Oreochromis niloticus: one gene and its partners. The protein of the gene in region 2 interacts with the protein of the main gene of each other region in a biochemical or structural test. Links are inferred from orthologs where the notes say so. Each region holds a gene or a part of one and is shown on either strand. Other genes may lie near its edges. The genes, in order: chek1, mcm6, dbf4 and cdc7.

Region 1 (7,372 bases), on a different chromosome or scaffold from region 2:
GGTATGGATAGTAGCCCTCAGGACAGTGGTATACCAACATGCTGCCTCTCTCCAGGTTGTTGCTCAGTGTGTAATTCCCTCCTTGCATTTGCAAATTACTCTCAGGGCAAGCACATCGAACACCAGCTCCTGAAAAAAAATGTCCACAGTTCTCAGAGGCCACAATTTAAGTTTATCATACACTTACATACGTACCATTACACAATTACTAAAGTAGTGTAAAATTCATGATTTGCCTTTTTTTGAAGTACACAGTATGCAATGGATTCTTTTACTAAAATCACCAGGTTAGTGATTAAGGGTTTATACATTGTTTTACTTACCTTTGTGAAGCATTATTTGTATTACAAGAATTTAAATTGTTATGTTTTAAATGCAAAAAGTCTGATATTTTATATTTAAGACAACATTATTTCTTTGAGCCTGCACTAATTTCCATAAATAGATGATGAACAAAATTTAGTACAGACTTACATTTTCTGAAAAATTCACTATAATGTTCACATTTGATGATGTTGCTAAGTCTCTAAAAACCTGATGGATAGAAGGACGTTTGTCAAATATTCAGAATATATTCAGAATGTACAATATAAAGCGCCTTGAGGCGACTTTTGTTGTGATTTGGCGCTATATAAATAAATATAAATAAAATTGAATTGAATTGAATTGAAGTTATATATTAGTTAATAAATATTTATTTGAACATTGATCAGTTTTTACACCTATAAGGTGCATAAACCTAAGTAAACAACAAACGCATTACTAGAAATTCAAAATTGTATATAACTTTTTATCTAAAATAAAAGTATCTTACCCATCCAAAATGCACATAAAAGCGCTGCAAGCCAACTCCAGTGGATAGAAAATCCCATCTTGAAGCTTAAACTGGGGGACAGTTTAAAAATGAGAGTATATTGCAGAAGTGGTTGATTTATTTCAGAGTAGAGAGTGATGTTTAAACTGGGAGTGGACAAAGACCATCCTGGTACTTATTAACTTTATGACCTGTAAAAGAGGATCAATACATGTTTATCACAGAAAACACTCAAACAATTTCCACATTTACATAAATCCTTCTCAACTGATAACTTATTTAGAATTACACAAAGATCTCTTATCTAATTTATCACTTACAATGTGAGCTGGGACGCTATTTACAGTAGTTATTATTTGGAAACTGCTTTATATTTATTACGTGCTGATGCTAACAACATGAAAAAATTGAGGTCAAAAACAGGGAGCCTTTGGGTTTAATTCTCAATTAAATACATAAATAAATAAAACCACTAGTAGAACATTTACCAAACTGATCAGGTTCATTAGTAAAAAGATTTGCTGTACAAAGAGTCTATGCATCTTTCAGCAATAAGGATGAAGATCACTTCATCACTTTGCGAAAGACTACGTGGAAAACTGACAAATTCAGAGTACACAAGGCACGAGGCCAAGAACTGATCCCGAATGGCCCCAATCTCTGGATCTCCAGCTGGTCCTCTATTAAAGACACACTCGACACTCTACTAGGAATATTTTGCAGTCTTTTTTCTTGATACCTTTTTTTCAGGGAAGACTTTACTCATGTTATGAAAAAGATGCCAAACTATGTGATGTTGTGTTATAACACCTGATTGGTGCAGTGTGAGGTGACAAACAGAAAGCAGCTGAGCAGCTGAGCAGCTGTATTAAGCAATTATCTTTCACTTAAAACAAAAGGTGAAGCAAAACGGTAACAAAAGTGCTCATGACTCAGATTTTTTGATTTTTTGATGTACTGTTTTCATTTATTCAATTGTTTATATATGAAATAGTTAAATGCATCAACTACAAATGTGGGTTGCATGGTTTGTGTTGTGTGTCCTGACCTTAACTAAGTTTTTTTTGGATCCAGGATTTCCCGTTATGTGTACACACGCTGTCACATGTTCCACGAAAAACAAAGTCATTGTGAAACCAAGACAAAGTACAAACATTCGCTTCATCATTTCCCAAAAGCACCAGGCTAGCTTGTTGACACATTGATTCAAGTATTGATTAAACACTCCATCGTGCCTCAAGCTCTCTCTGGCTTTGAGTTTGTTTTCTGAAAAACAGTTAAGAGATTATGTTTTGAAAATGTGATTTTTTGTCTTCTTTTTAATTTACATGCCACACAGACTAACTGGGTAATTTTACAGTGTGAATACTGGACACATCAGTTTCTCCAGGGAATAAACCCTGTGGCACTATTATTTTCCCTTTAGTGACCTGAATTGGAAAAGCCTCAGTTCTGTGAGGGCCTTCTGAAATGACAGTATCTGCTGGAGCTTCCAGCTGAAGCTTCACACTTTCAGACACCTAAAAGTGGTTTAAATAAAAGCTTTGTAACATCCATTAACTAGAAAATGTTTTCTTACATGGGAAGAAAGGCCACTTTTTGAACATTCATTTGCATGAAACTCACAGCTGCATTGCAATTCCCTTATTTTTGACCCACGTGTATTGTAGCAGTTTTTGTTGCTAAAATTGGGTCTTGTGGATTCCACATGCAGCTAGCATGTTATTGTAAATGTCATAATCTGTATTTCTTATGTAGTTTTTTACACTGCACAATGAGTCACATTAGATTATTAACATATAATTACATTAACTGAGTGTATAAATGTTGGTAAATAGAAGGGAATAGATATTAGGACATCATTTTTAATGTCAGGGTAGTGGTAGAGCTTGGTGTCGTTCTTTCTGTGTTGGTGCTGACCTGAGTTAGGGCGACTCTAAATGAGGATGGATGGATGGGTGGGTTTTTGTTTGTTTCTTGTGTTATTGTTTATTTTCTATCTTTTATTACACTTCTTAAAATAGCAAAGTGGCAATTATTACTGTGAAACACCTGCATCAGTAATTTCAAAGAAAGATTTAAAATGTTTTTCAGCTCATTACAAACTCAATTCAAAAAGAATTGTGAAGCTGTCCAAAGCGCTGAAGACAGAATGCAATGACTGGCATATCTCATAAACCCATATCTTAATTACAATTGAAAATAAAAAAACATGCCACATGTTTAACTTTATAGGCTCCAACCCCGTGAGACCCTAATAAGGATAAACGGAAGAGAATGGATGGATGTTTAACCCTTTCACGCCTAGTAAATAAATAATAAATAAATAAAATTTTATTTATATAGCACCTTTCCTGACAGAATCACAAAGTGCTGCACATAAGATAACAAATAATAAAAGGGTAAAACAGACAGTATAAAACAGGCAGAAGTAAAGTCCAAAAAAGGTGAGTTTTGAGTTGTTGTTTTTTTAAAAACAACTACCGAGTCCATAGGTCTCAATGTATGAGGGCAAGAGTTCCACAGTCTAGGGGCCACAGTGGCAAAAGCTCTGTCACCCTTAGTTCTCATCTTAGTCTGTTTTATAGCAAGTAAACCCTGATCAGATGACCCCAGGGACCTGCTAGGGACATATGGCTGTAGCAGATCGGAGATGTAGGGTGGTGCCAGTCCATGCAAGGCTCTAAATGTCAAGACCAGGATCTTAAAATGTACTCTAAATTCAACAGGAAGCCAGTGTAGCTGAAATAGCAATAGTGTCACATGTGAATACTTGGAGGATTTTGTCAACAACCAAGCTGCAGCATTTTGCACAACCTGCAGACGATCCAGAGAACCTTTGCTTAGACACATAAACAAAGAGTTACAATAGTCCAAGCGTTAGGAAATAAATGCATGTATAGCTATCTCCAGTTCAGGGCGAGATAAAATAGGGCTGTGTATCGTATTTAATACATGCAGTTGTTTGTGAGTTTTTGAGACTTCTACATCATCAGTGTGACTTTTTTCCCATTTTAAAGCATAAATAAATTTTGCAATACTTTTTTAAGCAATTTTTTTTTTTTTTTTAAAGGCCAGATGTAGTGAATATGATGCAAATTACAACTATTATAAGGGGAAAAATATGTAAATAACTTTATAAACAAATTTGTCAGGTGTTTCAATAAACTCTCCATTTAAAAAAATAGAATTTTGTGGCAATTATTCAGGCTTTAAACAATGTTGAATAATGAATTGTAAATCTGGCATGTTTAATCCGAATAAGACTTGGATAATAATGAACAGTAGGTGGCAGCTGACCGGCTAAACTCAAAGAAGAAGAAGAAGGGAGGCGTAGAAGAAGACAAGGCGGAAATGACGTCCAAGCGGAAGTTATCGCCAATGAGACAACAACGCGCCAAATTTGTGAAAAATCTTCAGAAGTCAGTGCAGCAGGATGAAGACGTGCGTCTGAGCTTTAAGGATAGCTACATGTGGCAGTCGCTGCTGTGTGAAAAGGCTGAGCAGGTAGGTTATTTTCTCATATTTTCGTATTTTATTTTTCTTAGCGGTTTTCTTTTGAGCATCATGACATTCGACAGCACTCTGTCAAAGTGCTGTCAAAGTTAAGTTTTGTAAGCTGGTAAATGCTTAACAGACACTTGTTAGAAGAAATAGGACCCTTGTTATGAAAATAATGTATACATAAGTAAATATTAGAAAGCGAAAGTGATGAATGCGTGTGTTTCTGTTTCTAGCATGGCGGTGCCTTTTGTGCAGGACTGGGACGTTGTTCAGACTCTGGGAGAAGGAGCCTACGGAGAGTATGAAAGCTTCCTTATCATTGTTTATCATTAGCTTATCGCCTTTAATAGCTGTCCTTTTCCAGCCATTGCACAAGGATTTTTTTCCCCCTTGTTTCATGGGATCATGACAGGCATGTATATGCACTAGAAATGTTCATCTGAAAATCCAAAAACATCACTCACAGGAGACACCTGACTCCATCACAGTCACAGTTAGCCTTGAAAAAAAAAGAAGATGAACCAGGTATCAAAATGTAGGTAAAAATGAGACCTTACATATGCTAAAACATGTTTAATGTTATGAGACTTTAAAGTTTAACCATTTTTACCACAACAATTCCATGGTTTTTGCCATGGAATTGTTAGAAAACAAATCAAACACTCAGGGTAGCAATGACTGCTTCTATCATTCTTAAATTATGGCGTTATGCCACCATTAAATGAGGTGTCCAGAGATACCAATGCTCAAAGTTGGTTATAGAAGAAAACTACCGCACAAAAAGAACCTTTTAACTTTAGATTGACTCTTTAAGTGGGTTTAAAAAGATCTTAAATATCTTTGTTTGGTTTTTTTGTTTTTCTTGTTTTCTAGAGGTCAAAGTCAAGTTTATTTATATAGCACATTTCCAACAGTGCATGCTGCACAAAGTACTTAACAATCTAAAATGCAACTAAAATAAATAAAATGCACAACAATGATGCAGTAAAATATAGAAGGGGAAAAAAAAATATAAAATAAAAACAACGAAAACAGACGGAATTTGACACCTGACGTTCTGATTTTATTGAATAGTTTAACAAAGTTTAAAGTACTTGAAAATTATCTCTAGAAACACTGTAGGAAGATTTTAGCTCTTTGTGCATCCTGATAACTTCCACTCAGACTTCCTCTCACTTCTCTTCACCTCCGTGCTCTTTTCTCTTTATGATCTAACCGGTTTGTCCTCTTTGTGTTCTTGGTCTCAGAGTGAGGCTGTTGGTGAACAGACAGACTGAAGAGGCGGTAGCAGTGAAGGTCATCGATACCTCGCAGGCAAAAGAGTGTGCTGAAAATGTCAAGAAGGAGGTCTGCATCCACAAGGTACATCCATCACCTTCACCTGCACAGTTAGTATTATTGAAAGCAGCGGCTCACCAGTGGTGTGTTGTGAAACAAGTCAAGCTGTTCTTAAATCCATATGTTAATACAGTAAACAGCTGCATGAAATAAATTGTTAATTAACTGAATCACAGCTTTGTATGCTCTCATTTCCCTTTTCCTTGCATCAGTAAAAAAAAAACACAGCCTGTTCATGCCAGTCCCAGACTGTGAGAATTAGATAAAAACTGTTACTGTTGTGAAAACCAACTCTAGCCTCAGCTGATCTGGGGACGTTGGTAGCCCTCAGCTCGAGGGTGTCATTTGTTGGGAAAAGCTACTGCTATTCCAGGCAAGCTGAAAGCAAACATGCAGATAAGAATACAGATGTACAGATGTGTCTGCTTGTTTCGGCTCACCTAAAATGATGTGACATGATGACAAAAGATCCAAAAACCAGCTGAACAGACACCGAAGAGGCAAACTGAAAGCAAACATGTATGAAGTCGTACTTCATACTGGCTAAAATATAAAGAACTGGCATTTGTTATTAATGTTGGTTAGATTCGTAAAGATAAACTGGCTGAGACTGACCAGTTTGTTGCTCTAGTTTACAGATACAAACTGATTGTAAGCAATTTAACAGACACTGAAGTTGTTTTTATTTTTTTTATTGTTTTAGATTTGTTGAATTAATTAAAAACGTTAAGCTCTTAGCTAAGTAGAGTGATAGCTGAGAGCACTGTTTTGAGGATCTTTGTGTGTGCACTTAACTCATAGATGCTCAAACACACCAACATTGTACGCTTCTTTGGCCATCGGAAGGAAGGACCCACTGTGTACCTCTTCCTGGAGTACTGCACCGGGGGAGAGCTGTTTGACCGAATCGGTGAGCTGCAGACACACATTTGACGAGGAAACTGTCATACAAGAAAAACCTTTTGTTTGCTGATTTATTCTTCCAGCTGTAACTTTCCTGACTCAGATATGATTAGCATGAATACATGAATTCAGCTTAGCTGAAATGCGTCTGGAGTCTTCAGTAATCATTCTTTGCAAATATTTGATTTCGGTCTTACTCTCTTTCTTCTTTTACGCTCTCTTTAGAGCCCGATGTAGGGATGGCTGAAAAGGATGCTCATAGATTTTTCCAGCAGCTAATAGCGGCTGTGGTGAGTGAAGAACATCTTTGTGTTGATGTGACTTCCTGCGTATTTTCCTGCTGTTATTCTCTTTTTAAGTTTTTTTTTTTTTTTTTTTTTTTAACCTTTTCTAGGAGTACCTCCATGATTTTGGCATCACACATAGGGACATAAAGCCAGAGAACATTTTGCTGGATGACAAAGGTGAGGAAATGCAATCTTTATCAAAGGATTCTCTTTTTAGGATTCTCTTTTATTCCTTATAACCACCGCCCTCTGGGGTTGACTTTTTTTTTTCTTTTCTTTTCTTTTTTTTCACCTTCAGATAACCTGAAGCTGACAGATTTTGGCCTGGCAACCATGTTTCGCTTTAAAGGCCGAGAGCGCCTTCTGAATCGATTGTGTGGGACTCTTCCCTACGTGGCTCCGGAGCTTCTGAGCCAAACAGAGTACAGAGCTCAGCCTGCAGATATCTGGGCTTGTGGCATAGTCCTCACTGCCATGCTGGCTGGGGGTAAGATCCAAAATGTGAAGATCATACACACATCTGTAG
Region 2 (8,253 bases):
TTTTCTACTTTTTTCATTCTGCTGTAACTGATGTGAATACAAGGTCACAATAGCTGTTCTTTCCAGTCTCGACGAGGAGCCACTGTGATAAAACAAAGAAGCAAGGACTGTAATGCTCTCTACAACATGGACATGATCCTTCGGTGGTTTCTCACCGACCACTTTGCTCCAAGGAGTTTCTGTTCCACCTCATTTTACTGTTGTAACTTTATTAACGGCACCTTTAGTTACAGACTTGTACTCCAACCTTCCACCAATGCCTGCTGTCCCATAGCTGCACTGTTTTAACACAACTACAACAATACGGTGGAACAAATATACACAGACACATAGTGCAAAATTAACCATTCAGCTGAAGTTGTATCTTTCTGGTCCCAGCACAAAACTATAAATAAGAAAAACAATTTTGGAAAAATTGTATTATTTTACTGTCTGTAGTGACTGTAGTACTACTTTCCTTTTAGAAATACTGTACATTAATGTTAATGCCACTGTTTTGCACATACCTACCTCTGTATATTTTATATTTTATATATCTTATTTTATTGTTTACTCTATTTCATTTGTAAAACATGTATATACACACTCACACACACACACACACACACACACACACGTAGAAAAACATATTTAGTACACACATTCAGTAATGTATATACCTTTATATATGGTACATATATTTATTACTTTTTAGATTAACCATTTTTATATTTTGCTTGTTGCACGTTATTGTATTTTGCACAACTCTGTTGCTTGTGAAGCTTGCACACAAGAATTTCACTCGCATGTACTGTACCAGTGTACCTGCACATGTGATGTGACAATAAAGGTGATTTGATTTGATTTGATTTGATTTGAAATGAAGCAATAATTTTTTTTCTTCCCACTTCCTCTATGGACCACCACTGTGCAATACCAATTCTATGTGCAATAACCCAACTGTATATACACAACACTATTTATTACATATTAGTTTTTTTTTTTAAAACTGGCTTGTATATTTGTACATTTTATATATATATATCTTTTTCCCTCTGTTAATACTGTCCATATGTATATAGCGCTGCAGAACTGTACCCCCCCCCCCCAGCATGTTTTGCACTGAGTAGATGCTCTGTATCTCATTGTACAACTGTATAGTGACAATAAAGGCATTCTATTCTATTCTATTCTATACCTAGTAGGCGCTGACACTGGCTGAGCTGACATGTAAAATAAAAATATGCAGAAACATGAGTGTTCACTGCCCCCCAGTGGTCATGTGGTACATTTATAAGTTGAATCCAATTACTTGTGTCCTTGTGCACAGTTTTGACTACTGGGGGTTCCAGAGTGTGGGGGCCCCTCCCTGGGGCCAGTAGGCACTCCCTTCCTTCCCTCCCCATCCTCAGCTGCCTCCCTCTTCCTGCTCCACCAAAGCCACCCACACACGCAGGGCTTGGGGTGCAGGTGTGTCACCAGGGTGCAGGGGAGGCACTCCCCCTCTGTCCCCTTCTGGCCGCCTGTGCCTCAATTTTATTCCGCAACCTAGACATCCACATTACTCATACTCTCATAACACATACCTATAGGGCCTTGGGGGTGGTCACGTTATACAGCGTCCAGAGGACGGTCTGTGTATTCAAACCCACCTCTGGCGCTGGTGCCCTACCCTCAATTTTAAATGCATATAGACACTGAGGGTTTTCGGGAGGAGCCGTGCTGCTCTCTGGCAGGAAGCACCTTGCCCTCCTGTGTTTTAAATGCACTTTAGAACAGCACGCAGCAACACTACATATGAGTGGGCAGAGGGAAGTTTGGGGCCTTCACTCACCCCCGTTCTGTTAACCGTCGGTGCTGGGGGGCTGGGAGGAGGTGCTGGCCGTCGGATTGGGGTCTGGGATGAGGGGCCTCCCTGCTACTGCAGATAAGGAGGCGGTCTGCTTTCCTCCACCCCAGAGAGAAGGGTTACATCTCCTGGGTCTAGGTACGGTTTGCCCCTCTGGGGGCAGGGGTACCTGGACCTGGGATATAGAGTATGTTTGGGGAGTGTGAATGTGTGTATAGTGTCTATTTGTGTCTGTTTCTACGTCGGGTGAGTGCCGAGTATTTGTTTGTGTATATGGGGGTGGGAATGCATGTTTGTGTCTCCGTCCGCCTGTTAGTCTGTGTCTATATGTCAGGTTGGGTCTTACACTCCACCTCTCTGGAAACATCTCAGGCTCTCCGAGGTATGGAGGCCTATCTCCCCTCACCACACTCTGCCGGTGGCTGATGCCCTCAGATGTTGGTGTGTTGGTGGTTCTTGGTGTCTGGGGCTGGGCACTCATGTATGTACCGACTCACTCCTGGTGGCCGATTGGTGGGGGTTGGTGCCTGTGGCCCGGCTGGGCCCCTTCCGGGGGGTGGGGTGCCCTCAGGCCTCTGGGCCTGAGGCCCGGTCCTCTCTGGCACAGCTGGCTGCCGGCAGAGCCCGCGGGCACGAGACTGCAACCCCTCTGGCCTCTGCTCCGTGGCTGCTGGGTGATCTCTCGTTTGGGGCTCTTCTCAGCTCTTCCCAGGAGGGTGGCATTAATTAATATTTAGTATCTACTGTTAGCTAGTTTATTGTGATGGTGTTGTATTTATTATGTTGCTCTTTTTTGTTTGTTTTCTCGTCTGTTTTTCTTATCTCCATACAGGTGATCCAGGTGTTTTGTTTGTTTTTCTTTTTTTTCCTTCCCCCCTTTCTCACCATCTCTTCGCCCCTCTATTTTTCTTTCTCTCCCTCTCTTTCTTTCATTCTTTCTCCCTGTCCTATCCCCCAGTCATGTCTGTCCCGTCTGTAACAACCGAAAATAAAATAAAATAAAAACATAATTATAATAAAGGTCAATCAAATGGACCAATATGGCAAGGCCATGAAGATGCACTTGGTAAAGTAAATCCGCTTGGCATCTTTCTTGGCCTTCAGACAACAATTCTGATGGCTAAAGATCCAAACGGGACAGGCAAAAAAAAAAAATAAATACATAAATAAAGCTTTGAGGCACAAACACAGAAAAACATTCGCTACTGCATCAAATAAGTTGATTCTCTGGGATTTTTTCAGTCTTTTATTCCCATCTAACAAATCCTCACTTCTAACTGGTGACCTCTGGAGCAGCCTTTTTCTTTGGATGGAAACCACTAGTGGAAGAGACAAATGACATGTAGGCTTGTATAAAGCAGTTAAAACAGCTTCACCACAGACATCTGCAGCAGTAAAATGCTTTCGGTTTTTAAATCAAAGTACATTTACTCAAACCCAAATTCCCTTTGGGGTTTAGCATCCATTGTAAAACTGCAAAATTGAAAATAAGGGAGCGGCTGAAAGTAGCTTCTACTCAAAGGAAAAGGCTTACAGTGAGTTTTACTAGGAAAGGAGGAAAAAACATGTTGGCTTGGCAGAGAGATTGAGCTGGGAAGGATTTGCAGCAGGTTACGGTGGTTAAAGATAGGATGGAAATGTATTAGCGAGTGAAGAAAATGTCTTGATAAGGTGGAAGGAGTACTTTGAGGGGCTGATGAGGAAATGAGAGGAAAGTGCAGAGGATTAGTAAGGAAGAAGTGAAAGTAGCTATGAAGAAGGGTGAGTGGACATACCTGTGGAGGTATGGGGATGACTAGGAGAGAGGACAGTGGGTGCATTAACAAGATTGTTTAACACAATCCTGGAGAGCGAGAGGATGCCTGGGGAATGGAGAAGAAGAATACTAGCACTAGTTTTCAAGAACAGTGGTGATATGCAGAGTTGTAGTAACTACAGAGGGATAAAGCTGATGAGCCATACTAAGAGGATATGGGTAAGAGTTGCTGAAGCTAGGTTAAGAAGAGAAATGTGATAGTGAGCAGGACTATGGTTTCATAGCACTACAGATGTGATGTTTTCTTGGAGAGTGTTCATGGAGAAGTACAGAGAAGGTCAAAAGGAGTTGCACTGTGACTATGTGGGTCTAGAGAAACCATATGATAGGGTGGTGAGAGAGATACCGTGGCAGAGAAATATGTGAGGGTGGAGCAAGACATCAGTGAAAAAAGAACCAACTTAATTGAATTATTTCAATTGGTAACACCTAATTTAATTAAGTTCTTTGAAATGAAGTTAATACATTAGATAAATCAGTTGTGTTACTCTATGTATTAACTTCATTTCAAAGAACTTAATTAAATTAGGTGTTACCAATTGAAATAATTCAATTAAGTTGGTTCACCTATTTTCTTTTTTCAGTGATGTATCAGGACAGCAAGACAGGGGTGAGAGTGACAGATGGGTTCAAGGTGGGGGTGAGACTACATCAGGGATTGGCTCTGATCCCCCTCTTATTTTGATGAGGTCAGGCAGGAGTTTCCATGGAATATCAAGTTTGCAGGTTACACCGTGACAGTTTGAGCTGGAGTTGGCAGTGTTTAAGAGGTTAGGATTTTCACTAGGCATGACCAGAATGGACACGATCAGGAATGAGTATATCAGAGAGGCAGGGTGGGTTGATCGGTTTGGAGACAAAGTAAGAGAGGCAAGACTGGGATATTTTACACATGTGCAGAGGAGGGAGAGCAGAAATACTGGGCAAAGGATGCTAAATATGGAGGAGGCAAGCAGGAGGAAAACAGGAAGATCACAGAGAAGATTCATAGATGGAGCTGGATGATCCAATGAGGCAACTCCTAGGAAGAAGAAGATGATGATGATAATGATGACGACATACTAATATTAAATATTATGGCCGGAAATGGCTCAAGTGCTAAGTTTACTGCGACGCTGTCACTCAGCTCATTCTTCATTTGTAGCCTGTCTGTATAACGCACGTGCTCGACAAAGACACGCGCACACTGAGATAACAGCTCGGTCTAGCCCCGTCTACAGCTGCTATTGGTTAGCACAGGAAGCGTATCGCGGGAAAAAAGGCAGCAGGACCCCGCGTCAATTTACGTTTCCGCTTCTAATTGGCTACGAGCTCAGAGACATTTCCATAACGTCGCAGATTGGTCGAAAGCGGCGCGCCAAACATCACGTGGTCTCGCTTTTCGCGCGAAACCGGGCTCGCTGTTGTCCGGAGCTGAGCGTGCTGTGTGTCAGAGAGGAGAGGAGCAGCTCGTGTCGGTTTTGCAAACTTCTTTTTGGATTCTCTTTGTTGTCGCAGTTTGACGGACTTGCAGCATGGATGTCGCCACAGCCACCGCGGAGACTGCCGGGGCGATGGTGAAGGACGAGCTGGCCGAGAAGTGCCAGAAGTTATTCCAGGCTTTCTTAGAGGAGTAAGTGAGGCAGCAGCGACCGTGTCGTATTGTTGTCGGCCGAAACGTGCTTGGCTTGACATCGCTCTTTTAATCAGCAATTATAAGGATCGAGTGCTGCTTTGATCGGCTGCTATTGGTGTCTTTTCGCTGCTTTTTCTTAACTCTCTCTCGCTTCCTGCGTCACCCTGCAGATTTCAGAGCGGGGATGGGGAGGTGAAGTATGTCCGGGAGGCCGAGGAGCTGATCAGGCCTGAGAGGAACACCCTACTGGTGAGCTTCACCGACTTGGAGGGCTTCAACCAGGAACTGGCTACCACCATCCAGGAGGAGTACTACAGGTGAGCAGGCCACATGACCACCAAGTCATGGGTGCTTCCCTCATATCTAATCCAAATACTGAGGTGGGAGAGTGCTCTGCTGCATTTCAAACCATCAGTTCAGTGCTGTGGAGATAAGCTGTGGGATAACCTGAAGGATTCTCTGTTTCCAGAGTGTATCCCTACCTATGCAGAGCAGTGCGCAACTTTGCTCGGGATCACGGGAACGTTCCTCTCAACAAAGAGTTCTACGTCGCTATCGAGGATCTGCCCACCAGACACAAGTAAGACACTGTTAACCAAAACCACCATGTACATCTCCATTTATCTGGTCTGAGCTGCCGTTTATTCAGCTAGATTGCTTTAGTGTAAAGATATTTGTAGAAATGTCTGCTTGGCTTGAATAACTTGGAACTAAATGGTGTTTAAGTTGTGGTGCATAAAGCAGAAATGCTACATCTCACACTGGTAGATGTTAATGGGAATGAAATGCCAAATCTGATCCTTTTCCTGTGTTAAATGTAGGATCCGTGAGTTGTCCTCCATGCGTATTGGCAGCCTGGTGAGAATCAGCGGTCAGGTGGTGAGAACGCACCCAGTCCATCCTGAGCTGGTGAGATGTTTATATCAGTGAAGAAGACACAAAGTTCAGTTTTTCGCTTGTCTTTTGCCATTAAACCCATTATGCGTCCTTTGGTGCAGGTGAGCGGTACCTTCCTGTGCATGGACTGCCAGGCAGTGATCAAAGATGTCTCTCAGCAGTTCAAATACTCTCCTCCGACCATCTGCAGGAACCCCGTGTGCAACAACCGCTCCCGCTTCCACCTCGACACGCACAAATCCAAGTTCATCGACTTTCAGAAGGTAACTGTGATAAAGGACGTGTGCCTGTCTGTCTGCATGGATGAATGAGTCTGATTCTGACCCTGTGTACCCTGTTTGTGTATCCAGGTGCGTATCCAGGAGACACAGGCGGAGCTGCCCCGTGGTTCGATCCCACGCTCTCTTGAGATCATCCTGAGGGCAGAGGCTGTGGAGACGGCTCAGGCTGGAGACCGCTGTGACTTCACTGGGACCCTGATTGTCGTGCCGGATGTCTCACAGCTCAGCACACCTGGTACTTTTTAAAATTTTAACCATTTATAATCAAAACTATGTCTTGTGGTGTGTTTTTGTTTTGTTTTGGTTCTCATGACTGTATGGATGTTACTTCCAGGTGTGCGAGCAGAGACCAGTACCCGTGTAGCAGGAGGTCCTCAGGGCTTTGAGTCTGAGGGTCTGAGAGGACTGAAAGCTCTGGGAGTCAGAGAGCTGTCATACAGGCTGGCCTTCCTGGCCTGCAACGTGGCGCCCACCAACCCACGGGTAAGAAGCGCTCGCCCCTGTGCCTAAAAATGCAAACGGCTACAAATCTTGCTGTGTGATTACAAATACGTCTTTATCACAGTTTGGCGGTAAAGAGCTGCGGGAGGAGGAGCAGACAGCTGAAAGCATTAAGAGCCAGATGACGGAGAAGGAGTGGGAGAAGGTTTTTGAGATGAGCCAGGACAAGAACCTGTACCACAACCTGTGCACCAGCCTCTTCCCAACCATCCACGGTCAGTGATAGAACCCCCGTCTAGCCTTTTTCTCCAATGGAGGATGCTCTCGTAGTTCTTTATCAAAGCTGTGACTTGTGAGTTAAACGTTAACGTGATGGTGCAGGTAACGATGAGGTGAAGCGCGGCATCCTGCTGATGCTTTTTGGAGGCGTTCCCAAGACGACCATGGAAGGGACCTCGCTCAGAGGAGACATCAACGTGTGCGTTGTGGGAGATCCAAGTACTGCCAAGAGCCAGTTCCTCAAGTATGTCACACAGTTTCCACCTTCACTGATTAGCTTTGCATAAAGTTTTTCTTTGTTCCATCTTCTGGCACAAATACTTTTCAGTACTCTCTTTGCTGTAGACATTTGTTGTACAGCATTGTTGATTTGAATGTGTGTGCCTGTGTAGGCACGTGGAGGAGTTCAGTCCCAGAGCGGTGTACACCAGCGGCAAGGCCAGCAGCGCCGCAGGTCTGACGGCGGCCGTGGTCCGAGACGAGGAGTCGCACGAGTTTGTCATCGAGGCTGGAGCTCTGATGCTCGCCGACAACGTGAGTGCTGCGACTTCTGAAGAACAGTGACGGATGTATTATTATGGAAAAAAAAAAAGTTTCTTTATGTAATTAGTGCAAGTAAAACTTGTTAACTGGTTTGATTTCAGGGTGTTTGCTGTATTGATGAGTTTGATAAGATGGACCTCAAAGACCAGGTGGCCATCCATGAAGCCATGGAGCAGCAGACCATCAGCATCACCAAAGCCGGAGTCAAGGTGACGCTTTCAAAGCTTTATGCTTTGAACACACTTTAAACACTTTTACGCAGCACAAGTGGAAGTTAAACTGCTATCAAATTCGATCGCTCGTCTCTGCAGTAGAATAACCAGACCGTTCCTCCGCTTCTCTCCTCAGGCTACCCTGAACGCTCGCACATCCATCCTGGCTGCTGCTAACCCTGTCAGCGGACGCTACGACCGCAGCAAGAGTCTGAAGCAGAACGTCAACCTGACCGCTCCCATTATGAGCCGCTTTGATCTCTTCTTCATCCTGGTGGACGAGTGCAATGAGGTACATGCAAACGTAGCGTAGTCTGAGCATCCTGTGCTTACTGGTTGAT
Region 3 (7,396 bases), on a different chromosome or scaffold from region 2:
AAATAAAAGTTAGAAGCAACACAGCACCATACCTTTGTCCCCGCTGTTTGTTTGCAGGAGGATCCTTCTCCTCAGGACAGAACGGACTACAGGGAGCAGTGGTTTTCAGGTTGAACTCAGGCATGTCTGACATTGTGAGGTAGATTGGACGGTAGTGCCTGACAAAAGAGAAGGAAAGCATTTTAAAAATCACAGGAACAATTTCATGACAGCAGGTGGATGCTGGGTTTTTCTGATTGACTTCTTACCTACTTGAATCCTCAACCTTGATGAAAGGTTTACCAATCCGCCCACCTGGAATACAAAACATAGATCGTTTATTAGCAAAGCAAGAAGAATACCAGCCTGAAAAGGCCGACTAAAATATACCAGCAAAGCTAAGTAATTTGTTGGGGGGGGGGGTCTACCTTTGCATTTCTCTAGGCCTTGCTTTGCTGCAGAATCAGCTTTGTCCTGTTAGAAACGACAGAAAAAAGTGAACACTTCCAATGTTATACAAATAACTTAATATAAAGTTGGACTATTTTTCCTACTATACACTGGAAATTCTCAACTTACACATAATTTGGCCGCAGTGGCTGCAGGAACTGAGCTTTTGATGATCTTTTTTTTCTTATGAACATATGCTCTTAAATCTGGAATTGGCACAAATAAATTTAGAAAAATCACAGATGGCAACGCAGAATGAACTTAATTTCATACAAAGAAGAAAAATTACTTCAACTAAAACAGATACCACACACACACACACACACACACACACACAAAACATACCATCTACATATAGGATTTTCACACCCCACTCCAGGGCATTTGACAGGATCTTGTTTACTTGAATCCTTTCCTAAAAACAAACAAGTGTGTATTAGCAGAGCAATTAAAAGCCCTCAGTAAATATCATTCATGTTGACAAAACAAACCTGCTCTTTCACTACTCTCTCCACCAGAGACTTCCCTCGGCTTGTAACAAACTGCAAAACAACAACAGATAATGCAAAAAATATCAATAACTAGAAAAATGATCTACAGGTTCAGAGAAGAAGTGAGATCAATCCCGGTAAAACAGACACATCATGGTGAACTCACCGTGTCGGTTTGTCCTTGAGATCTGCTCTTGATGTCGCCATGGCTGCCAGGCCGGTGTGGGTTTGAGCAAGGATACGGCGAACTCGGTCCAGAGTCTGGGCTAGGAACAGGAGAGTCCTGTCTGAGGCAGTTCACATATCTAGCCTCCCGCTTGTTAGATACCAGATACTTGATGTCCTTACTGAAGAACTTCTCCACAGTCTGAGCGAAAAGATAAACAAGATAAAATGTTTTGAGAAAAACTCAAGAATAATTATTTGTCTATTCAATTCACAGAGTAACCATGTCCCAGAGCCTTTAAAAATATATTACTGAATGTCTGGTCATGTTTGTAACCTGACTGACATTTTCTAGTCATACTACTTCTGAGTGAAATGCATTCAGTTTTGGCTTATTTCTCCAGTAAGTACTGGAGTATTTGGTTGGACCTCAGGCTTTATTTTTTCATTACATTAATTCAACAAACTCCTGCAAACATTCAGAGAGTTTGGTCAATATTGACATGAAGGCATCACACAGTTGCTGCAGATTTATCAGCTTCACATCCGTGATGAAAAACCTTTTCCACCATGTCAAAAAGGTGGTTTATTGGATTGAGATTTTGGTGACTGTGGAGCCCATTTGAGTACAGTGAACTCACTGTCATGTTCAAGAAATCAAATGTAGATGATTTGAGCTTTGTGACTAGGCATGTTACCCTGCTGAAATCAGAAGATGGGTACAATTTGGACATAAAGAGATGGACATGGTCAGCAAGAAGACTCGGGTCCCAACGTGTGCCAAGAAAATACCCCATATCCTTACACCACCAACAACAACCTAACTCACTGGATATTTTCTCCTTGTGTGAGAAAATCCCGTTAGATCAGCAGTTTCTGAAATACTCAGACCAGCCTGTCTGATTAGATATTTGCATGAACGATTAGGTGTACGCAGCTTCATAGTTCATATGTTAAGCTTGCACAAAAGCAGTGTGACAAAATGCAAGTTTCAGCCAATGAATGTAACCAAATAATGTCTCACCCCTCCAAGCTGTTTGATGTCACTCTCTAAGGTTTCTGCGGCTCTGTTTGATGGCAGGTCCAGGTAAAACACTTTTCCAGCAAAAGGCTTGACTTGTGTGGGAACTGATGTACGTTTCGCCTGACTCAGCGTCACCTTGTCACTAGTATGTCCACCTTTTCCTGAATAACAGTATAGCACAAGAAGAAGACTTAAATGTTAAACCATTTTACAAGTGAGTTTTACAGCAAGTTTTCCAGACACGGATTAAACATAAACAAAAAGAGAGATTGAATTAAGATCTCCAATGACAAACTTGACGCTTAAAGCACGTTTTATATCAAGTTTATCCTTACTTGAATTAGAAGCTAAGTAAATAAACGAGCCTATATCATCTGTTTTAACATTCAAGTCAATCTGGTTCAATAGAGATTATTTTTAAGTAAATTAACAATCAAAAAACTTCACAAAAGATCCATTAGCGTTACATTCGTGCGTTACGGTGTTAGCTGTTCGCTAGTTTGGTTAAAACTACGTTTTAAATTTTAAATGCAAAACACGGAAAAAGTCGCGGCTGGTGTAACACGGAAATAAACGCTACAGGTACCTTGCCAGCTGGGTCCCGGGTGCCTCTGACTGCGTTTTGTCTTCATTTTATTCTCTTTCATCGAGAAAAGGCTGCTTTTCTTATCCTCCCGTCTTGAGTTAACATACTCCACAAAGGCCTCGTCAGTCCTCTGTGTGTAAACAAAAGAAAACGCACATTTAAAAAAATTAGACGCAAAATGCAAGGAAATAATCATCTATTACATAGTAATACGTAAACAAAATGTAACATTAACATTACATTAACATTATCTGAGGCAATGCTCGCTGTCCCCATGTTAATCAATTTTAATGGTCTTAAATGTAAACTTAACGTACGTTCACAGCCTCCCTCCCCAGCGGACACACAGCTTCGCCGATTAGCCTCTTTGCTCACATTTTTATGCAAGTAAATGTCGAAAAACGTCCCTAAACGTCTGTCGGCAGATTTATTTTCCACAGAATAGCCACGGTTATACGGTTTTACAGCTCCTCATCCAGAACTAATAAACTTTAACAGTGCCGTTTGCTTCCTTCACCTCCCTTTCCCGCTTTAAATCCGGTGTCGGAGACGGTATATGTTGCCATGTTTGACGCTTTCCAACTTCGTAACCATTTCCACGTTAAAATGCGCTATGTTATTGAGTTAGTTTTTAAATTGAACAAATGTAATATTATTTATCTGAAGCTTTGTCTTTTATGAACGTTACAGCCGTCCTATTATCGATAGCTTCAAAAACAGAGGTGTTGATATCAAACGGAATACTCTCCAAACCTGGCAACGCAAAAAATACGTAAACATATTCTTGATGCTTGGATGTGTTGTTTCCCCACTATTATCAAACTAAAGTAAATTATACGAAGACAATTATATCAGTTTTGTCATTTACAATAACTTTAATGTAGTATACATGCACGTTTAGTGTCATTTTATCTGAAGTTACAAAAATAAATACAATTATTAAAGTCAAGGTATGTGCTCAGCTGAAATTTAAATTATGTCATCACGCGCTGTTTGCGTCAGGAACTACCCTGCTGCAATTTCACACGTGTTTATGCTTTCAAAGACTTTAGGACAGCAGGAACTGGCGTAGTAGGAGGATAGCTATAAACCCCGAGAGGGATGTGCGTGTTCACGAAAGACGTCGCTGATTCTGACTGACTTTAGTAGGTAAGGAGTTAGCTGTGCTAGTTAGCTTGCTAAAGTTAGCCAGAGACCTGTCATGTAATTTTTTAGGGATCGTAGCCTTGTCATGATTTATTGTGTGAATATTAAATAGGAGGCGTATTAAAAGCAATCAAATGTTTGTCTGTTTGTTTGTTTTTTAATGAAGACAGGATGAATAATGAAAGTCCTGCTCCTCCTGCCAGCGGCGCCATTACTCCCCTCCAACAGATGGTGGCGTCCTGCTCCGGCGCCATCCTTACGTCGCTGTTTGGTGAGGCACCTACTCTTCAGCTTATTACATTACAAAAAGCATGCCTTTGTTTATTAACTAACACTCAGCTGGTGGTTTATGAGGTACAACTTGTTATTGTGTTATAAAATTATTTTGATCAGTCGGAGGTTTGGAGAAGTTTCCTGAACTGCTGCTTTGTTTGTTCTCTGATTAAATGAAAATTGTGACAAACATCCTGAACACAGGCACTCATGTTGAGTTGCTTTTTTTACAGTCACACCTCTGGATGTTGTGAAGATCAGGCTACAAGCACAGAAAAATCCCTTTCCCAAAGGTGAAATGAATTTACACTATGTTGACTGACTTTTTTTTTTTTTATTTTAAATTCTGTTACATATATCAGACCATGATACTGTGCATGCAAAAAGAAGCATTATTAAAGTAATAATAAAGATCAACCTATTTCCATAGCAGACTTTTTGGAAGTATTACAGAGGTAGAAACCATATGAGGCCCTTAAAAAAAGGTTCTTTTGTCCCTGTGTTTTAGCATTTGATCTGTCTTTATGTTTATTGTGGCTCCATTATATACTAAACCAGGGGAGTCAAACTAATTTTAGTTAAGGGGCAATATAAAATGTCACTTTATGAACTTTATAACCTATATGAATCAGGAGTGGGATTAGGGAGCAGCTAGAAGAGAGCCTGGAGAGATGGAGCCATGAAAGCCAGAATACATGTGTGAGAATGAAAGGGAGATGATGTAACAGTGAAGGTGGATGAGTTTAAATACCTGCAATCAAACATCCAAAGCTCCAAAACTGCTTTTATATCTCCATACATTTTCATGCCCTTGTTGTACTGCTGGCTTTACATTACCACACTAGAAACAGCAGTGAATTTTACTCAATAATTGGTTTAGCCAGTAACAACTTTACTGAAATGTTCGCATTTTGCTGACCTGAACAGCCAGGCGGCCTGCGTTTGACGTCACTGTATTAAATGTTAATGTTAATATTTTTCAGGCAAATGCTTTGTCTACTGCAATGGACTTATGGACCACATATGTATTTGTGAAAATGGGAATTCCAAGGCCTGGTACAAAGCTCCGGGTCACTTCAGCGGCACGCTGGTAAAATTTTACATCCACATTACAGTTTACCACTATAATTACCTCCCGCCATGTTTTTGGTATCGTTTGTATGTCGTTCTGTCTGTTAGGTCTGTTAGTTGTCCGATAGCCTTGCTTCATTAAGCCTTGCTTCGTTAAGTTGACCTTGGTCTTCAAGGTCAACTTAATGATTTAATGGTCGAAAATTGACAAAAGCCTTATAACGTAGAATCTGTGACAAGTGTGGTGTCTAGTGTCAACATTTAAAGTACATTTAAAAAGGAAACAGAAAACAAAATGAATATATACAAAATCCAATTATGTTCCCTTAAAAGTAAATACTGTCCAGAGAGTGAGCTTCTTGTTCCGTATAATGTTTTAAAGTTAGCAGTCTGACACATTAAGCTTAGCTTTAGTGACTGATAGAACTTTTCCTTGTATAAAGTTGAGCTGTTGTAGTACAAAACCTCTGAGTGCCACAGAGCACATCATCCTTCACTGACTCCTAACTCTGAATCTCTGCAGGATGCATTTGTCAACATAGTGCGGCATGAGGGAATCAGGTCATTATGGAGCGGTCTGCCTCCAACACTGTGAGTGTGAAGTCTATTTCCTGATTGGGCGCCTGCCCTCCTTTTAAAACTGAGCTGTGGTGGGTCAGTAGTGATTACAGCGGATGCTGTCATTAACAGTGTTTTCCTTTGATGTGGTATTTACTCTGAGGTGGCTCACTATGAATTTCTTCAATGATCGTAACCAAATATTTAATTATGTTATGCGTCATTAAACAGAACTTTCTTAAATTTAGATGCATTTTGGTGGCTGTCTTTTACGTGCTTAGAAAATTTTATAAGGAAGGCATGATTTATGTACTTTCTGTTATGTGCCTTCTCTAGTGTGATGGCAGTCCCAGCCACAGTGATCTACTTCACATGTTACGACCAGCTCTGTGCAGCACTGAGGGTCAGGATGGGAGACTATGCTCAGGTGGCTCCTCTCCTTGCAGGAGCTACTGCTAGAGGTGAGCTGACTGCTGTCCTACTGCCACTGAAATATGCCATATATTGACAATAATGCCCATATAATGCCTAATAACAGACATCAGCATTTTAATAATGTTTGGGGTTTCAAGGCCAACCACCCTTACCTTCTGCACCGTGGCCTCGACTTCCTGATTTTATCCCACAAGCTAGATTTCATCTAGAAAATGCGAATGTTATTTTTAGTCTAACTCACAGGCCTGTAAGTGATTATTAAAGTAGAAAAAAGAGGCTCAGTCATTAAAAGCACCACAGCAGTATGTTACTTTCACTACCATAACACTTCATGCCCTGCTTTGTCTTCCTCCTCTGTGTGAAAGTGGGTTCGGTGACGGTGATCAGTCCTCTGGAGTTGATCCGCACTAAACTGCAGTCCCAGAAGCAGTCGTACAGGGAGCTGACCCAGTGCATCCGTTCAGCAGTGGCCAAAGAGGGCTGGCTGTCCCTGTGGAGGGGTTTGGGGCCCACGCTTCTCCGAGACGTTCCCTTCTCGGCCATGTACTGGTACAACTACGAGATGGGCAAGAGTTGGCTGTGTGGCTTGTCTAACATCACAGAACCCACGCTGACCATCACCTTTGTATCCGGAGCTGTTTCAGGATCTGTAAGTAAATTTTTCATCTAAAACTGCACAGAATTCAACTTCCAGCCTGCAGATAAACATATCTGATAGCGAACAAACAGAAGTAAACTACAGCGTATCATTTCTTATTTCATTTTTGTCATTTCTTTCAGATTGCATCTATTGTAACTTTGCCTTTTGATGTCGTCAAAACAAGAAGACAGGTGGAAGTTGGAGAGCTGCAAGCAAAGAACTGTAATTATGCTTAATTTTTTTTTTTTTTATTAAAGCTTCTGAAGATTGTAAATGTACATCTGAAGCTGCCTGGGGAGGTTATGTTGATGCTTTATGTTCATATTTGTGTTGTCATGGTAAATAATCCAAGTCTGCAGTTAAATAAAAGCAACAATGAGCTTTAAAACATTTTACTTCTCATCAAAAAGGCTTCCTCATTCCGTTAAGAGGCCACAACACTTTGTGACAGTCGACGAGCGTCACAAGTCAAGCCCTGTAGAGCACTTAAACCTTCTCAGTGCTGATAAGCAACATGAATAAGTGCCTCAAGTGTGTGCTTCCTCCTCTGTGGATGATGGTGATGGCTGCTCCAGCTG
Region 4 (7,352 bases), about 3.2 Mb from region 2:
GACTGATTTAGAAGCTCAGATTGTGTCCATTAAAAATAAATAAATCACTTCAGTATAAACACTGCGGTAACATATGACAAAGTACATACCACAATGGCTTGATGCTCCATGTAGGGCATTACAATCACCACGTGATCCTCCTTCCTGAAGCAGTATGTCACTCCCATTACATTCTCTCTGCCTCTGCAAAGTGGATTAAGGGCACAGCTCAGAAGACAGGCGTCATTTCATTATAATGTGTTATGTCTGCAAGAAATGTCAATCTCGGACGTTCACTTCCAAGAATCATTACAGAAGCACTCAACCACAAATGCACACTCATTTATATAAATTGGTGTGCTTTATGCTGCACGTCCTGTCAACCCCAGCCAGCAGTGTACCAAACTGCGTAGGTTAAACTGAATCATAAGATGTCACACAAATGAGAAACCCACGCACCGATTTACCACAGCATAAAAATAAACTTAAAAGCAAGGAATCGAATAAAATTTGGTCTTTTCTGATTTTACATTTTTGGGATACTCAGCTCTTTCACAAACAGTAATACTAAAAGAAAAGTGAATATTGAGGTGTGCTCCCAACACCACGTGGAATTATAGGAAAATTAAATAATAATCAAATTGAATCCCTGGATTATCTGTCAAATAATAAAAACATACACTCACCAGCCACTTTATTAGGCACACCTATTTACCTGCTCATTATTGAAAATATCTAATCAGCCAATATCATTTCAGCAACTCAATGCATTAGGCATGTAAGAAATGCCAAATATCAAGGTGCAACTCAAAGGAACTCTATAATTTAACCAGCTTCAGTTCTTTAAGAAGGATTAGTGACAGTGTACAGGGTTACAGTAACACAAACTAAATAAAGGAATAGATGTTGATAGAAAAAACATCTGTGTAACATCAATAAAATTATAAGTTCCTGCATTGGACTCACCCTGCAACAGTGAGACACTGAAGCTCAGCAGCAATGCGTGTGGGATGGCTTGTTGGGATGAGATGCTTCAGTGCAAACATCTCTCTCCTCCCATCTCGCATCTGCACCTCACCCAAGTATACTGAGCTGAACGTACCTAATGAAGACACACAAATGTCATCAGCACTTCTCCTTATGAGGTTAGTGAACAGCTAACAATCCTTCTCCCAGCTGTATAAAAACTCCAAAACTGACAACGTACCTTCTCCAATTTTGTCTATAATGCGGAAAACCTTGGCTAGCTGAGGAACAGCTTTGTAAAGAAACTCAATGTCCATCTCCACTTCCGCTGGAAACAAACAAGAAAAAAAAAATCCACTGTCAGAACACCATTACTAGTGTGGTGTATATAGTCAACACATAGAAAGCAATAGGAACAGGAGGGGAGAGAGATAAACAGAGTATCGATATAGCTGTATAAGCCCGGCTTAATCTCAGGGTGGTGGGTTCGAGGCCCATGTTGGGCGTTTGCATTGAGGGCAGGGCAGGGATAGCTCAGGTAGAGTGGTGGCCCCATAATCGGAAGGTTGAGGGTTCAAATCCACTGAACGGCTACCCTGAGGTACCCCTACACTGCTCCCCGGGCCCATTGCTTCACTGAGTGAATGTGTTAAATGCAGAGAGACTTTCCCGACGGGGATCAATAACTGTGACATAATTTGGAGTTAAAGAAAAATACTGGCGGCCACACTGCTACACCTCAACTTATGGTATTGTTTTAAAAAAATCCGACAACCCTAAAGTAAGTTTTAAAAGAACAAAGAAAGCAAACTAAATATAAAATAAATATGATATGATTGTCTTAAAAATTAATTCTGCCCAGAGTGAGGTTACTAATACTGTGTGCAAACTCTAAGCTACAGTGTGTCTGTGAAGGTTCTCAGTCATCCAGGTCATTGTAGTCTAAGGAGCTTGGAAAGGAAAGCGTCTGGACTTCTTTAAGTTGCTTGAAGACGTTTCACCTCTCATCCGAGAAGCTTCTTCAGTTCTAAGGGTCAAATGGTGGAGAGTCCCAGATTTAAACCCAGTGGGAGTTTCCCCCCAAAGAGGGACAAAGGACCCCCTGATGATCCTCTACCTAATCACATGAGCCAAGGTGTGAAAGCGGGTGTGGGTCCCAATCAGCCAGGGTTTCGGGTGAGCTCATTGTTAAACCTGGCCCCACCCTATCATGTGATTTCCTGAGGTCAGATGGCCCAGGATGTGAGTGGGCGTTAAGGGGTCTGGGAAGGGATCTCAAAACTGGATTATAGATGGCAGACAGTTGGTGTCGTAAACCACCGCCTCTGTTCAAAGATGGTCGCTCACAGTGGACGTAAATGGCTTCTTTCACTCCTCTTTCAAACCATCTGTCCTCTCTGTCCAAAATGTGAACGTTGGCATCCTCGAAAGAGTGACCTTTGTCCTTTAGATGCAGATGAACTGCTGAGTCTTGTCCCGTGGAGGTGGCTCTTCTATGTTGTGCCATGCGCTTGTGAAGTGGCTGTTTGGTCTCTCCGATGTAGAGGTCTGGGCATTCCTTGCTGCACTGTACAGCATACACCACATTGTTCAGTTTATGTTTAGGAGTTTTGCCTTTCGGGTGAACCAGTTTCTGTCTGAGTGTGTTGCTGGGTCTGAAGCTACAGTGACAAACTATAGCTGAGCACAAAGATTTTAAGTGTATATCAGCCATAATATAATAATGTAGTTCCAATATAAGGATGCATTTCTACTGAAATATTTCTGTCATATCACAGTTGTCCAACTCACGGGAGATTTTCCGTTTCTTGTGACCTCTGTCAGCTTTCATAAGGCATCCGTCTGTGCTGGGCTCAGCGCAGGCAGGAGAAAACTCCATCTGAAAACCAGAAAACAGGAACATCGATAGAGACACTTACAGACGGAGCAAACACTCGTGATTTAAGTTTGGTAAACACTTTATTTAAGATATTCTGTAGCTGTACAAGTCCTCGTTACTGTAAATGTCTGCAGTTATAGTTTTTTGAAGAGCGCGGTCTGACTTCCTAGACACCACTAGCATATTGTTAGCTCGCTAACTGCAGCTCGTAGAGCAAAAACACAAAGAAACTTACCGCTTCAGTTGGTTGTAAAGTCCAAAAGTGTCTCAAATTAATGCCTCATAAAGTCACCACACAGCCCTGACCAACATCTATACCGGTAAAACATCAATTATAGGTTTATATTCCGCTCTGGCGGTGCCTGAACAACTTTGTACAGACTTTCGGATTGAAGCGTCTCCGCCAACAACAAACTCCGCGCTAAAAGTGACGTCAAAGAAATCTCGCGTTACAGCAGCAGAAATCACGTGACATCCCAAGCACACGGACGAGAATTTAATTATACCTGTGACGTATCGCTGCATGACTTAGATAAAACAAAAACTGCTGCCTGTGAATTACACGTTACACTGCCAAATAACAGTTTAGTGTTTTCTGATTACTTCCCTTGTTACTCCGTTATGAGTCGTTGCCTCATAAGAATGGCTGTTGACAATTTTGAGCAAATTTAAAAAGACTAAAACTAATAACATTTCATGTATATTTTAGGAGCTCATTCAACACGGATGTTTTATTAAAAAATATAATATTCAATTGAAATAGTCCAATATTCTTTTTTCCCTTTCAAACACAAAAAACAGATGAAGTTTCAGAGCGCCCTCTGGTGGACAAATTGTGCCTCATCAAAACTCTTAACATGGTTGAGTGGTGTTTCTCCCATCACTTTACTTTTTCCCATTTATCAGCAGTTATAAATGCATAAATCAACAGATTGTGAAATAGTTCATATTTTACAATAATATTGTCCCACCGATAAATTGGCTTTAATATTATCTACTGCATAATTTCTGTTCTTGTTTTTCTTGTTCATGTCTGGCTATTTTCATTTCGGTTAGCAAACGTGTTTTTAACACCTCCTATAGGTTTATCATTTAGCTGTGGTTATATTTTTAATAACCTTGGATATACAGTACTGTGCAAAAGTCTTGAGTCCTCATTTCTTGGTTTTACTTTGTTTTCAAGGAGACAGAATTTCTTATACTTTTTCTCTCCGGGTTTTCAAAAGCTCATTGGAAGTTTTTCTTTGGATACTGGCTGCTTTTTAAAAATCATTTTCAGTCTTTTCAATGACCATGTTCAGAGAAATTAATTCTTTTGTTTCTTAAGCCACCTAAAACTGACCTATAACTAAGCATAAAAAAGTCATCATCTAACACAAGGGATAAACAGTCAACTTAGTGAAGAACCAGTTTTAAATTGTATCTTTAGGTACTTTGTCACTAGTAGGCTCATTACTTTCACAACAGCTAGTTGAATCTACAAAAAAAATCTAAAAATAACAGTAAAATACTATTTTTGCATCACCATGCAACAAGATTTAGATGTAGAGACATGTATACTTATTCCTTTGCATTAAGTTGAAATTAATACTTTCACTGGAGTACGCAACAACTTGAATGGCAGTCTTTGAATACACACCTATGATACTAGACAGTTGTCACAAAGCTACTTCTAATTAGTCTACAAGTGAGTTCAGACATTGAGAAATTACCCAAAGACTCCACTGAATCCTCCAGTGAACGCAGGCTTTATTAAGTAAACAGCGCACATAAATACAATCACATCAAAAAACCCTTTTGAACTTTGTTTCTTTTACAATACAAAATAAGAATGAATTTGCAACACTCTACAACTCCAGGTGTAAATCTCACAGGAAACAGAAAGCACCTTACATTAGTGACATGTTTATATCAGAGTGTGTCCACCAGTACTTCTAAAATATTCCATCAAAAATGCCAACAAAAGCATCTTCCTCTTTGCTGCTGGTGTTGAATATATGCAAAAAAAAAAGGAAAAAGGGTATTTATTAATCCTGTAAGGAAGTATGCTTATCCCATATCCCCTGCATATAGGATCACTTTTATTATTTGGTGAGAAAACATGCAATAGGTGTGAATCAAGGCCACTTTTTTTTTTACCTTCTATTGAGAGATGAGCTGGCGTTGGGTGGGGCACTCAATGCTGAAAAGAAATCCAATCTCCTAGTCACTTTTGCCTCCTCAGGCTGTTTTAGAAGTTCTAATGATGTTTTTACAGTGGTTTCCTCACTGAAAATATTTGGCCTCTGCACAACAAAAAGAAATAGAGCCATGATTCATGTCTGCACATTAGCTTGACTGCTGGCTGTTACATTTGAGAAAGGTGAGGTTAGAAGCATTAACTGAAGTCAGAAGAAAAATAGCACAAGTATGAGCTTTACTGTACTTACTGAATAAATAGACAGCTAAATAGATAATAGATAACTAAAAGATGTCAACAGACAGAAAATGGCGTTCTCAGTATTTTTACATATAGCCACTAACTCTGCACAAATACACATGTACACATTCCTGCGTGTGCACATACATGGACTTTCGGATTCCACTTGGGTGTGATTCTCTTCTGTGGAGTGAATGTCCGGCTGACTGTTGAGGGTCCCGCTTTTTTGATTTCAGGACTGACATTTGTTAAAGTCAACCTGAAATAATCATGAAAAATATTCTATTCAATTTAAATTTATTACACATGTATTGTTATTAAACAGTCCAACCACCTTCCACGTTCCCTGTTTCTCATGAAAATGCAACAAAAGAGAAGAATAGACACATTTTGCATGTGATATCAAATTGTCATTGTAAATCGTGTAAAAACTACAAACTCTGACACTTGTGTTTTACTTTAGATTTAATCTACACTATTACGATTTTTAATCGACTAAAACTAAAAGAATAGAAAAGAGAGGGCGGCTGTCTCCTGATTCCAAACTGGGAGCTGTTTCCACAGAAGGGGAGCCTGAAAGCTTTCACTTTTAGAAACTCCAGGATAAACAACTGGAGTCTGCAAATATGACAAATTTTCTAATGGTTAATGATACTGTCTCACTGCACATACAGTATGTCACACAGTTTCTGATTCCTGGCTTCCTGGTTATACCTCACTTGGTGGTTAATGGTGCATAAGGCTGTGGTCTTACCTCAGTGGTGTAGTCACAGTGGTTATAGAGGGTTTGATGTGTGAGTGGCTGAGTAATACTGGTGCTGTAACATAGCCTACATAAAGACATATGTATATGTTAATTAAACCATAAGAACATCTGATGTATAATCCCACATGGGCATGTGTGCTTAAGGGTATCCAGTGATATTAAAACATCACTGTGTTCATGTCACAATGAAGTCCTGATGACTGAAATGTATGAGAAGTTGATTTCCGACTTGTTCACCCTACCTGGTGTGCGGTTTTCACCACACTGCTGAATTTGAGGTTGTGCAGTTGTGTATGAAGTCAGTGCTGGCTCGCTTGCATGCATCAGATTATCATCATCAAAATCGCCCCAGTCATCCCACTCGTTTCCAAGGTCAAAGTTGACAGTCGGTATCTGGAGGGATGAAGTATTTTTGCAGAGAGCAGCCTGTTCTGGCACTGCTGTGGAGCTCTTTGAGTAAACCGTGCTGGTTGTATTGACCTGGTTTAGATCCTGTTGAGAGTCCTGACTCCCAACACTCATATCTGTGGTCATCCACACCGAGGAACCTCAACACAAAGGAAAATAAAAGCATGGTCACATCATCAAATCTTCCTCAACTGTGTGCATTTAAAAATTCAACCTGAACAATAACATCTATCTAATATCTTTTTAGATATATTCTTCCATCTCGCAGCTGTTGATTTCAAAGCTGACCGTGGTTAAGTCTACCACTTAATCTTGTGTATGCTGAATAAACCTGGTCCTGAGTATGTCTGACTTAATTAATATGTTTTCTTTTGTTACCACAGTCCATATAACAAGTGGCTGTACTTGGACCTCCTCTGAGCAGAACTTAAAGCTGAGCAGAACAAAAACATGCGAACAAACAGGATAGTTAGTCTGGAACTGAGTTTGAAGTTATTTAACAATACTTTGATGGTGAGGGCCTTCCCAAAACGCCCTCCCATCGTTGTGTACATGTCTTCCATATAATAGTCATCATAATCTCAAAAAATAAAAAGAAAGAAAACAGCTGATGATATAACATATTATGATATATGATATAACACGTGACACAAAGAAGATATGATAGAAGTGACATTCAAATGTTAAGGAATATGTGGAGCTTAGTCATGTCACTTGTTTACCTCCGTCGAGGTCATTCAGGCTTTCTACATCAGGTATTTGAGCTTCACTTGCCAAGTCAGTCCCAGACTGAGGTCTCACTGAAGCTTTACAGAGATTTTCTTTATTCCTTCAGATGGAATAAAACAGAGCTTGAAAGTAATGTGAGCCAAGTGTGTCTTTGCTCACGATTCTTGAGAATCTAATGTTCAGCTGTTTTTTTAAGGAAACTATTA

What was found.
Region 1: the proteins of mcm6 (region 2) and chek1 form a complex in vitro, tested with the Homo sapiens proteins (2 studies listed by BioGRID, with this or other methods). The link is inferred for Oreochromis niloticus from reciprocal best matches to the Homo sapiens genes MCM6 and CHEK1.
Region 3: of the proteins of mcm6 (region 2) and dbf4, one has a biochemical effect on the other in vitro, tested with the Homo sapiens proteins (2 studies listed by BioGRID). The link is inferred for Oreochromis niloticus from reciprocal best matches to the Homo sapiens genes MCM6 and DBF4.
Region 4: of the proteins of mcm6 (region 2) and cdc7, one has a biochemical effect on the other in vitro, tested with the Homo sapiens proteins (2 studies listed by BioGRID). The link is inferred for Oreochromis niloticus from reciprocal best matches to the Homo sapiens genes MCM6 and CDC7.

The regions. Positions count from the first base shown.
Region 1 is NC_031975.2:13,694,378-13,701,749, forward strand, and holds the start of chek1 (serine/threonine-protein kinase Chk1), read left to right. Parts: upstream 1-4,159; 5' UTR 4,160-4,321; intron 4,322-4,551; 5' UTR 4,552-4,552; coding exon 4,553-4,617; intron 4,618-5,565; coding exon 5,566-5,680; intron 5,681-6,457; coding exon 6,458-6,566; intron 6,567-6,784; coding exon 6,785-6,849; intron 6,850-6,953; coding exon 6,954-7,023; intron 7,024-7,144; coding exon 7,145-7,333; intron 7,334-7,372. Other genes in the region: complement factor B, read right to left, coding at 1-129, 815-872. UniProt on the Homo sapiens protein: Serine/threonine-protein kinase which is required for checkpoint-mediated cell cycle arrest and activation of DNA repair in response to the presence of DNA damage or unreplicated DNA.
Region 2 is NC_031982.2:7,553,387-7,561,639, forward strand, and holds the start of mcm6 (DNA replication licensing factor MCM6), read left to right. Parts: upstream 1-5,003; 5' UTR 5,004-5,158; coding exon 5,159-5,256; intron 5,257-5,429; coding exon 5,430-5,576; intron 5,577-5,728; coding exon 5,729-5,839; intron 5,840-6,080; coding exon 6,081-6,168; intron 6,169-6,257; coding exon 6,258-6,419; intron 6,420-6,506; coding exon 6,507-6,672; intron 6,673-6,771; coding exon 6,772-6,920; intron 6,921-7,002; coding exon 7,003-7,153; intron 7,154-7,259; coding exon 7,260-7,401; intron 7,402-7,549; coding exon 7,550-7,691; intron 7,692-7,801; coding exon 7,802-7,909; intron 7,910-8,048; coding exon 8,049-8,204; intron 8,205-8,253. UniProt on the Homo sapiens protein: Acts as a component of the MCM2-7 complex (MCM complex) which is the replicative helicase essential for 'once per cell cycle' DNA replication initiation and elongation in eukaryotic cells.
Region 3 is NC_031976.2:20,456,494-20,463,889, reverse strand, and holds the start of dbf4 (protein DBF4 homolog A), read right to left. Parts: upstream 3,264-7,396; 5' UTR 3,071-3,263; exon of another isoform or gene 3,013-3,070; intron 2,826-3,012; 5' UTR 2,757-2,825; coding exon 2,696-2,756; intron 2,271-2,695; coding exon 2,110-2,270; intron 1,288-2,109; coding exon 1,087-1,287; intron 972-1,086; coding exon 921-971; intron 845-920; coding exon 775-844; intron 636-774; coding exon 559-635; intron 454-558; coding exon 408-453; intron 295-407; coding exon 249-294; intron 159-248; coding exon 33-158; intron 1-32. Other genes in the region: mitochondrial glutathione transporter SLC25A40, read left to right, coding at 4,013-4,112, 4,348-4,407, 5,098-5,204, 5,709-5,776, 6,080-6,204, 6,544-6,827, 6,959-7,040. UniProt on the Homo sapiens protein: Regulatory subunit for CDC7 which activates its kinase activity thereby playing a central role in DNA replication and cell proliferation. Required for progression of S phase.
Region 4 is NC_031982.2:10,741,984-10,749,335, reverse strand, and holds the start of cdc7 (cell division cycle 7-related protein kinase), read right to left. Parts: upstream 3,287-7,352; 5' UTR 3,060-3,286; intron 2,825-3,059; coding exon 2,737-2,824; intron 1,274-2,736; coding exon 1,187-1,273; intron 1,082-1,186; coding exon 946-1,081; intron 184-945; coding exon 90-183; intron 1-89. Other genes in the region: probable ATP-dependent DNA helicase HFM1, read right to left, coding at 4,759-4,807, 4,964-5,109, 5,391-5,502, 5,998-6,073, 6,252-6,557, 7,140-7,246. UniProt on the Homo sapiens protein: Kinase involved in initiation of DNA replication. Phosphorylates critical substrates that regulate the G1/S phase transition and initiation of DNA replication, such as MCM proteins and CLASPIN.